Linked DNA regions of Xenopus tropicalis. The protein of the gene in region 1 purifies or fractionates together with the protein of each later gene. This does not show direct contact. Links are inferred from orthologs where the notes say so. Each region holds a gene or a part of one and is shown in the gene's direction. Other genes may lie near its edges.

Region 1 (3,919 bases):
AATGGAGACTGGGTGAGGAATTCTTTAGTTGTATTTTTTACTAATTTTCCTCCCACCCCCCCACCAGCGATAGAGTAACTGAGACAATAGAAATGATTCATTCCCACCCCCCTGTTACTTACATACTGTATAGGGCTATGCACCAGAATGCTGTCTAACCTGGCACAGCTCCCATGATAACAGATGGCCAAGGTGCTAAACAGGATTTACTGACATGAGCGGGGAGAACAGTATTAGGGCACCTCGTTTGGGGAGTTTGCCAAACTGCTGACACTCCGGCTGCTATGAACTACAAATCCCAGCACTGAGAGAGGAGCTTGGAATGCTGGGAAATGGCTTAGGCTGGAATGTTGGGAAATGTATTTCACAAGCCAATAGGAGATCTCAGACCACTGTGGTCTAAATGCTCTGTTATACAGATAGCTAGAATCTCAGCCATAAAGCAGGGCAGGACTGCTGCTTACAATGGGGGGGATCAGATAGGATCTGTGCCACTGTGACAGAATGCTCTGTTATACAGATAGCTAGAATCTCAGCCATAAAGCAGGGCAGGACTGCTGCTTACAATGGGGGGATCAGATAGGATCTGTGCCACTGTGACAGAATGCTCTGTTATACAGATAGCTAGAATCTCAGCCATAAAGCAGGGCAGGACTGCTGCTTACAATGGGGGGGATCAGAATGCTCTGTTATACAGATAGCTAGAATCTCAGCCATAAAGCAGGGCAGGACTGCTGCTTACAATGGGGGGGATCAGATAGGATCTGTGCCACTGTGACAGAATGCTCTGTTATACAGATAGCTAGAATCTCAGCCATAAAGCAGGGCAGGACTGCTGCTTACAATGGGGGGGATCAGAATGCTCTGTTATACAGATAGCTAGAATCTCAGCCATAAAGCAGGGCAGGACTGCTGCTTACAATGGGGGGGATCAGATAGGATCGGTGCCACTGTGACAGAATGCCCTGTTATACAGATAGCTAGAATCTCAGCCATAAAGCAGGACAGGACTGCTGCAATGGGGATCAGATACATTATAGATAGTTGCACAGATATAAACTGTATTTCCACAACTAATCCCCCCAGGCAGTTGCAGAGTTTTGTTCCTTTACAGCTACCCCCCCCCCCTCCAATTGCACATAATATATAAATTGCCACCAGGGAACCCACTATGGCCACAGTAGCCAATACATGCTTTGTCCCACCACAACCAATCAGATGCTTGCTTTCCAACAAGTGACCAGTAAAATGCAAGTGGCTGATGGGTTGGTTGCTATGGGTTACTGGACCTGGTGCAAACTATGTGAAAACTTCTTGAAATATTTATAGCATTTCTCCAGCTAAGAGGTTCTGCAGCAGCGGCGGCGGCGGCCCCTGTATGGGCTGTGAGTGGCACACACACACACTCACACACACACACTGTTAGGCGCTCATATAGAAATGGAGCCTGTAGCCCCCCCAAGGGAAGAGCAAAGTGCCCCAATCAGCTGCCCCTCCCTGTGCCTCACCTGCCCTGGCCGCCCCACCCCTCGCCCGTCCCTGGATACTCCCCTCCCCCCTCCCAGGCCGGGGAGGAAATGATGTGCTAACGCCGCTCCATTCCAGCCCCAGACACCCATTGGAGGAGCCCGGGCAGCCAGCCACTTCCTCCCGCAGTAGCAGCCCCGGACTCAGCGCTGTTCAGCCGCCGGCCATTCCCCCCGCACAACTTTCTCCGCTTCCCACTCGCACTATATCGCCCTGCGCTTCTGTCGCACTGAGATCGGATCTGTCCCCCCGGTGCGGGGAAGGGGGGAGGTGCGCTGCCTGGGTGCGGGGGGAGGTGTCCTGCCTGGAAGATGAGGCTGCCTGCTGGGGAGAGAAGCCGCCTGCCCTGCGGAATGCTTCGCTGATTGCACCGGGGATCTATGGCTGCTTTGTCGCAACGCTAGCACCTCGCCTCGGCCCGACCCTCTCCGGAAACCCCATTCGCTCCAGAGCACTAGCCCGACCCCGGCTGGAGGTAAGAGATCTGACCCATGGGCTGTACGGGGAGCTAGGGCTGAGCCTTCCCCGGCCAAGGGGAGAGCAGCGCCCACTGTCCCGCAGCTGCAGAACCTCTTGGACTGCATGGAGCTTGTCTGGTTCCGCTGCGCCTTCACTACATTGGGGGACTGACAGCTCAGCCATTCCAGGACGTTCTGCAGCAGTGAGGCTGGTCCTGGCTGAACTGCAACTACCGACTTGGGGCCAATAGTGTGCCCGATAGTGTGCCTTATAGTGTACTCAATAGTGTGCCTTATAGTGTACTCAATAGTGTGCCCTATAGTGTACTCAATAGTGTGCCCTATAGTGTACTCAATAGTGTGCCCTATAGTGTACTCAATAGTGTGCCCTATAGTGTACTCAATAGTGTGCCCTATAGTGTACTCAATAGTGTGCCTTATAGTGTACTCAATAGTGTGCCCTATAGTGGGGCCAATAGTGTGCCCTATAGTGGGGCCAATAGTGTGCCCTATAGTGGGGCCAATAGTGTGCCCTATAGTGGGGCCAATAGTGTGCCCTTTAGTGGGGCCAATAGTGTGCCCTATAGTGGGGCCAATAGTGTGCCCTATAGTGGGGCCAATAGTGTGCCCTGTAGTGGGGCCAGTAGTGTGCCCTGTAGTGGGGCCAGTAGTGTGCCCTGTAGTTGGGGCCAGTAGTGTGCCCCTATAGTTGGGGCCAGTAGTGTGCCCTATAGTTGGGGCCAGTAGTGTGCCCTATAGTTGGGGCCAGTAGTGTGCCCCTATAGTTGGGGCCAGTAGTGTGCCCCTATAGTTGGGGCCAGTAGTGTGCCCTGTAGTTGGGGCCAGTAGTGTGCCCTGTAGTTGGGGCCAGTAGTGTGCCCCTATAGTTGGGGCCAGTAGTGTGCCCCTATAGTTGGGGCCAGTAGTGTGCCCCTATAGTTGGGGCCAGTAGTGTGCCCCTATAGTTGGGGCCAGTAGTGTGCCCCTATAGTTGGGGCCAGTAGTGTGCCCCTATAGTTGGGGCCAGTAGTGTGCCCCTATAGTTGGGGCCAGTAGTGTGCCCCTATAGTTGGGGCCAGTAGTGTGCCCCTATAGTTGGGGCCAGTAGTGTGCCCTATAGTTGGGGCCAGTAGTGTGCCCTATAGTTGGGGCCAGTAGTGTGCCCCTATAGTTGGGGCCAGTAGTGTGCCCCTATAGTTGGGGCCAGTAGTGTGCTTAATATTGTGCCTGCTGCCAGTTGTAGCGGATTATTCCCATGCTCTAGCAATAGGCGCTTCCCAATGCAGTTGTTGCAGAACTACAGCTTAGCCCTATACCCTTACAGTGTTTATCTGGCCCATGGGTGTGAGAATGAGGGGGGAGAGTTGCAAGTAGGGGATTCTGCCCCAGGCCTTACTGTTTGTGGGGCCCAGAAGGGCAGCAGTTCTTTTCAGTGGGGCAGTAGAGAGTCTCAGTAGGGCCCCAGACATCTGTATTGGAGCTGTCCAACCTGCAGCTTTCAGTGGCCCCTGGGTCTGACTTGGATTATCCTTCTGAGATCCCTGTATGGAATATAATTTGCTAGGAGGAGGCTCTCTCCCTGGCTGGGGCCCCCTGGTTTGTTAGGGGATTGGGGGAGACTTGCCCCATCTCCTTTTTGGCTTAATTGTGGGAATAGGGGAGAGTGTTGGCCATAAGGACAGAGGCTGAAGGTTGTCCTGCTGGGATCTCCCAATAGATTTATTTTGGGAAGGAGGAGCCTGTCTCTGGGCATGGGATCTGCTCCCCTCCCCATTGCCCCCCATAAGATTTATCTCAGGAATGGCAGATAGCGTATCCCTGCTTGTGAGATCCAGGGGCCCATCTCTAGTGACTGTCAATGGGGGTGGGGGGGGCAGACACTGCAAATTGTCTCCACACAAAAAAAGCCCCAGTGCAGTGTGTAATGCTATGCA
Region 2 (3,819 bases), on another chromosome or scaffold:
AATGGCTGCCCCCATGGCTACACAACAGGGTATTTATATAAACTGTAGTAGTGTTTATGAAGCAAACACACAACTTTTACCAGTGCAGGGCAATAGTACATAATATATTAATTATTTTTATACACTTTCATTTTTTGGTGTTACTGTTCCTTTAAGATAGATGGGTTAGGGTTAACATTTAGGGGAACCTTAGTGGGTTCGGGTTGGGTGTGGATCACATTGTACACATTGTACATCTAAGGAACCTAAGGCACATGCAGAAGTAGCATACAGAGCAAAAAGACGCTGGTATTGGTAGCATGCGGGTCCTACAAAGGCAACGTTTTGTGCATTAGTGTCGGGTGTGGGTTGAATTTTTCACATTACAGGTATGGGATCCCTTATCCGGAAACCCGTTATCCAGAACGTTTCAGAATTACGGAAAGGCCATCGCCCATAGACTACATTGTAATTAAATAATTCTAATTTTTAAAAATGATTTCCCTTTTCTCTGTAATAATAAAACAGTACCTTGTTCCTGATCCCAACTAAGATATGATTAATCCGTATTGGAGGCAAAACCGTTCTATTGGGTTTATTCAATATTTAAATGATGTGTAGCAGACTTAAGGTATGGAGTTCCAAATTACAGAAAGATCCCTTATCCGGAAAACACCAGGTCCCGAGCATTCTGGATAACAGGTCCCACAGCACCCAAAGCGAGATGTTAATTTGAGGAACCACTCTTCCAATCATTTCCTTTTTTTTGATGACTAAGCATGTTTGTGTATTATTATTACAAACTTTATAGTTATTTATAAAGGAAACTTGTATCAAAGCACTATAACATTTAATCTAATGCAAACCTTGTGTTAATCCTGACAGATATGGGTAAAAATTATTAATGGGGAACTGGAAGACAGCACACGACCAGACCTATTTGAGTACGTAGTAGACTTCCTAACCTTCTCCAGAGACCAGCATCTTGTTTGGCAGTATGCAGACTGGGTTTTGCAGAAAAGTGAGCAGGTTTGTGGTTTTGTTCACAAGAACTTGGAGGGTGGCAACATTTGAAAATACAGGGGTGCTATGTTTCTGACATTGATCTTGGTAAAAGAGTTGATCCAGAGGAAGGCAAAAAACCCCATCTGAAACCTCTCTAATTTGCCTCAGAGGGGAAAAAATTCCTTCCTGACTCCAAGATGGCAATCGGACCAGTCCCTGTATCAACTTGTACTAAGAGCTATCTCCCATAACCGTGTATTCCCTCACTTGCTAAGAATCCATCCAGCCCCTTCTTAAAGCTATATAATGTATCAGCCAGTACGACTGATTCGGGGTATAAATGCTGTATAAAGTATAAAATCCTACCAGTACCTTCAGCTGTACCTGTACCCAATATTTGTTACTTCCCACACTGGTTTACTAGAAGAAGCATCATAGTAACTGAGGACTTGGCAGTTTATACAAAGGTTCCCCCTCCTGTAGTACCAAGCATTTCAATTCAACATCCAAGGCTAAACATAATAAAAATATACTGTATATAGAACTCATCATTACTACAAAAGTTAAACATTGTATTATATGGAAAATATACAGTGAGGAACATAAGTATTTGAACACCGATTTTGAAAGTTCTCCCACTTAGAAATCATGGAGGGGTCTGAAATTCACAGTGTAGGTGCATTCCCACTGTGAGAGACAGCATTTAAAAAAAAAATTCAGGAAATCACATTGTATGATTTTTAAAGAATGTATTTTTATTGCACTGCTAATTATAATAGTGAATTAGATTAAAAAAGAGAATCTATAAGTTATATCCCACTGATAGGTCCTGAATCAATATATGAACAAATAACAATATATTTAAGTGAAATAAACAAAACATTTATTGGCTCAAAATTAAACAAACAATTAAAAAATAAGCAGTAGCCATACTATACCAAACAATGGATAGGTGCATCCCAGTGTCTCATGGTACCCACTCTCCTAAAGTGTTTCGCACCATTGGGTGCTTCATCAGAGGAGGTCACACATATGCTACACAAGTATTTGAACACCTGAGAAAATCGGTGTTAATATTTGGTACAAAAGCCTTTGCTTGCAATTACAAAGGTCAAATGTTTCCTGTAGTTCTTGGCCAGGTTTGCACACACTGCAACAGGGACTTTGGCCCACTCCTCCACACAGATCTCCTCTAGATTTCAGGGTCGTCGCTGAGCAACATGGAGTTTCAACTCCCTCCAAAGATTTTCTATTGGATTTAGGTCTCAAAACTGGCTAGGCCACTCCAGAACCTTGATATGCCTCTTACGGAGCCACTCCTTGGTTATCCTGGCTGTGTGCTTCGGGTCATTGTCATGTTGAAAGACCCAGCCACGACCCATTTTCAATGCTCTGACTGAGGGAAGAAGGTTGTTGCTCAAAATCTCACAATACGTGGCCCCATTCATCCTCTCCTTAATACAATGCAGTCATCCTGTCCCCTTCGCAGAAAAGCACCCCCAAAGCATGATGTTACCACCCCCATGCTTCACAGTAGGCATGGTGTTCTTGGGATGCAACTCATCCTAATTTTTCCTCCAAAGTTTAGACCAAAAAGTTCTACTTTGGTCTCATCTGACCACATGACTTTCTCCCATGCCTCCTCTGGATTATCCAGATGGTCATTGGCAAACTTCAGACGGGCCTGGACATGTGATGACTTGAGCAGGGGAACCTTCCGTGCAATGCATGATTTGTAGTGTTCTACCGACAGTGACCTTTGAAACTGTGGTCCCAGCTCTCTTCATGCCATTGACCAGCTGCTCCCTTGTAGTTCTGGGCTGATTCCTCACCTTTCTTATCATCAGTGATACCCCACGAGGTGAGATCTTGCATGGAGCCCCAGTCCTAGGGAAACTGACAGTCTTCTTTAGCCTCTTCCATTTTCTAACAATTGCTCCAACAGTTGATCTGTTTTCACCAAGCTGCTTGGCAATTGCCCCGTAGCCCTTTCCAGTCTTGTGGAGGTCCACAATTTTGTCTCTGGTGTCTTTTGACAGTTCTTTGGTCTTGCCCATGGTAGTAGTTGGAGTCTGACTGACTGACTGAATGTCTTTAAAGAGCTCAGACAAGTGCTACTAATTTAGATTAATGAGTGGAGTAGAGGTGGACTTTTTAAAGGCAGAGTAAAAGGTCTTTGAGAGCCAGAATTCTTGCTGATTGCCAGGTGTTCAAATACTTATGTGCAGCAGTGCAATACAAATACATTCTTTAAAAATCATACAATGTGATTTCCTGAATTTTTTTTTTAAATGCTGTCTCTCACAGTGGGAATGCACCTAAAAAGTGAATTTCAGACCCCTCCATGATTTTTAAGTGGGAGAACTTGCAAAATCTGTGTTCAAATACTTATGTTCCTCACTGTTCAATTGAATTATATGGCAAATATACCAATGTTCAAAAACTGTGGAGTATAAATTTATAAGAACGAGTGCTGAAATTCCATTGCCTTTTACCCCCTCAAATGAACGTTGTGGTATATATGTCTCTTGCAGTTGATGTCTATGTTCTGAATTTGAGTGTCAGTCTGGTCTTTTACTACTGAGACTCTTTTATGGTTCTACAGGTTGGTGTCCGGATTTTTACAAAAAGGTCTCCTGAAGAATACACACAGAATGGCTTCTGTCCAGATAAAATTGTGAGCTATTTGTGCAAGTACCATAAGGCTTTGCTCTTGTTCCTAGAACATTTAGTCCTGGAGAAAATGTTACAGGTAAGGTTCTTGATTATTCTCTGCGTTCCATCCAACTTCATACCTTGATCAAAAGAATTAAAGTGCTAATATATCTTATGTAT

Evidence for each region.
Region 2: the proteins of acvr1 (region 1) and tgfbrap1 purify together in Homo sapiens (co-immunoprecipitation; 3 studies listed by BioGRID and IntAct, counting the BioPlex papers as one, with this or other methods). This does not show direct contact. The link is inferred for Xenopus tropicalis from reciprocal best matches to the Homo sapiens genes ACVR1 and TGFBRAP1.

The regions. Positions count from the first base shown.
Region 1 is NC_030685.2:73,883,429-73,887,347, forward strand, and holds the start of acvr1 (activin receptor type-1 precursor), read left to right. Parts: upstream 1-1,662; 5' UTR 1,663-2,002; intron 2,003-3,919. UniProt on the Homo sapiens protein: Bone morphogenetic protein (BMP) type I receptor that is involved in a wide variety of biological processes, including bone, heart, cartilage, nervous, and reproductive system development and regulation.
Region 2 is NC_030678.2:111,665,709-111,669,527, reverse strand, and holds part of tgfbrap1 (transforming growth factor-beta receptor-associated protein 1), read left to right. Parts: intron 1-864; coding exon 865-1,008; intron 1,009-3,589; coding exon 3,590-3,736; intron 3,737-3,819. UniProt on the Homo sapiens protein: Plays a role in the TGF-beta/activin signaling pathway. It associates with inactive heteromeric TGF-beta and activin receptor complexes, mainly through the type II receptor, and is released upon activation of signaling.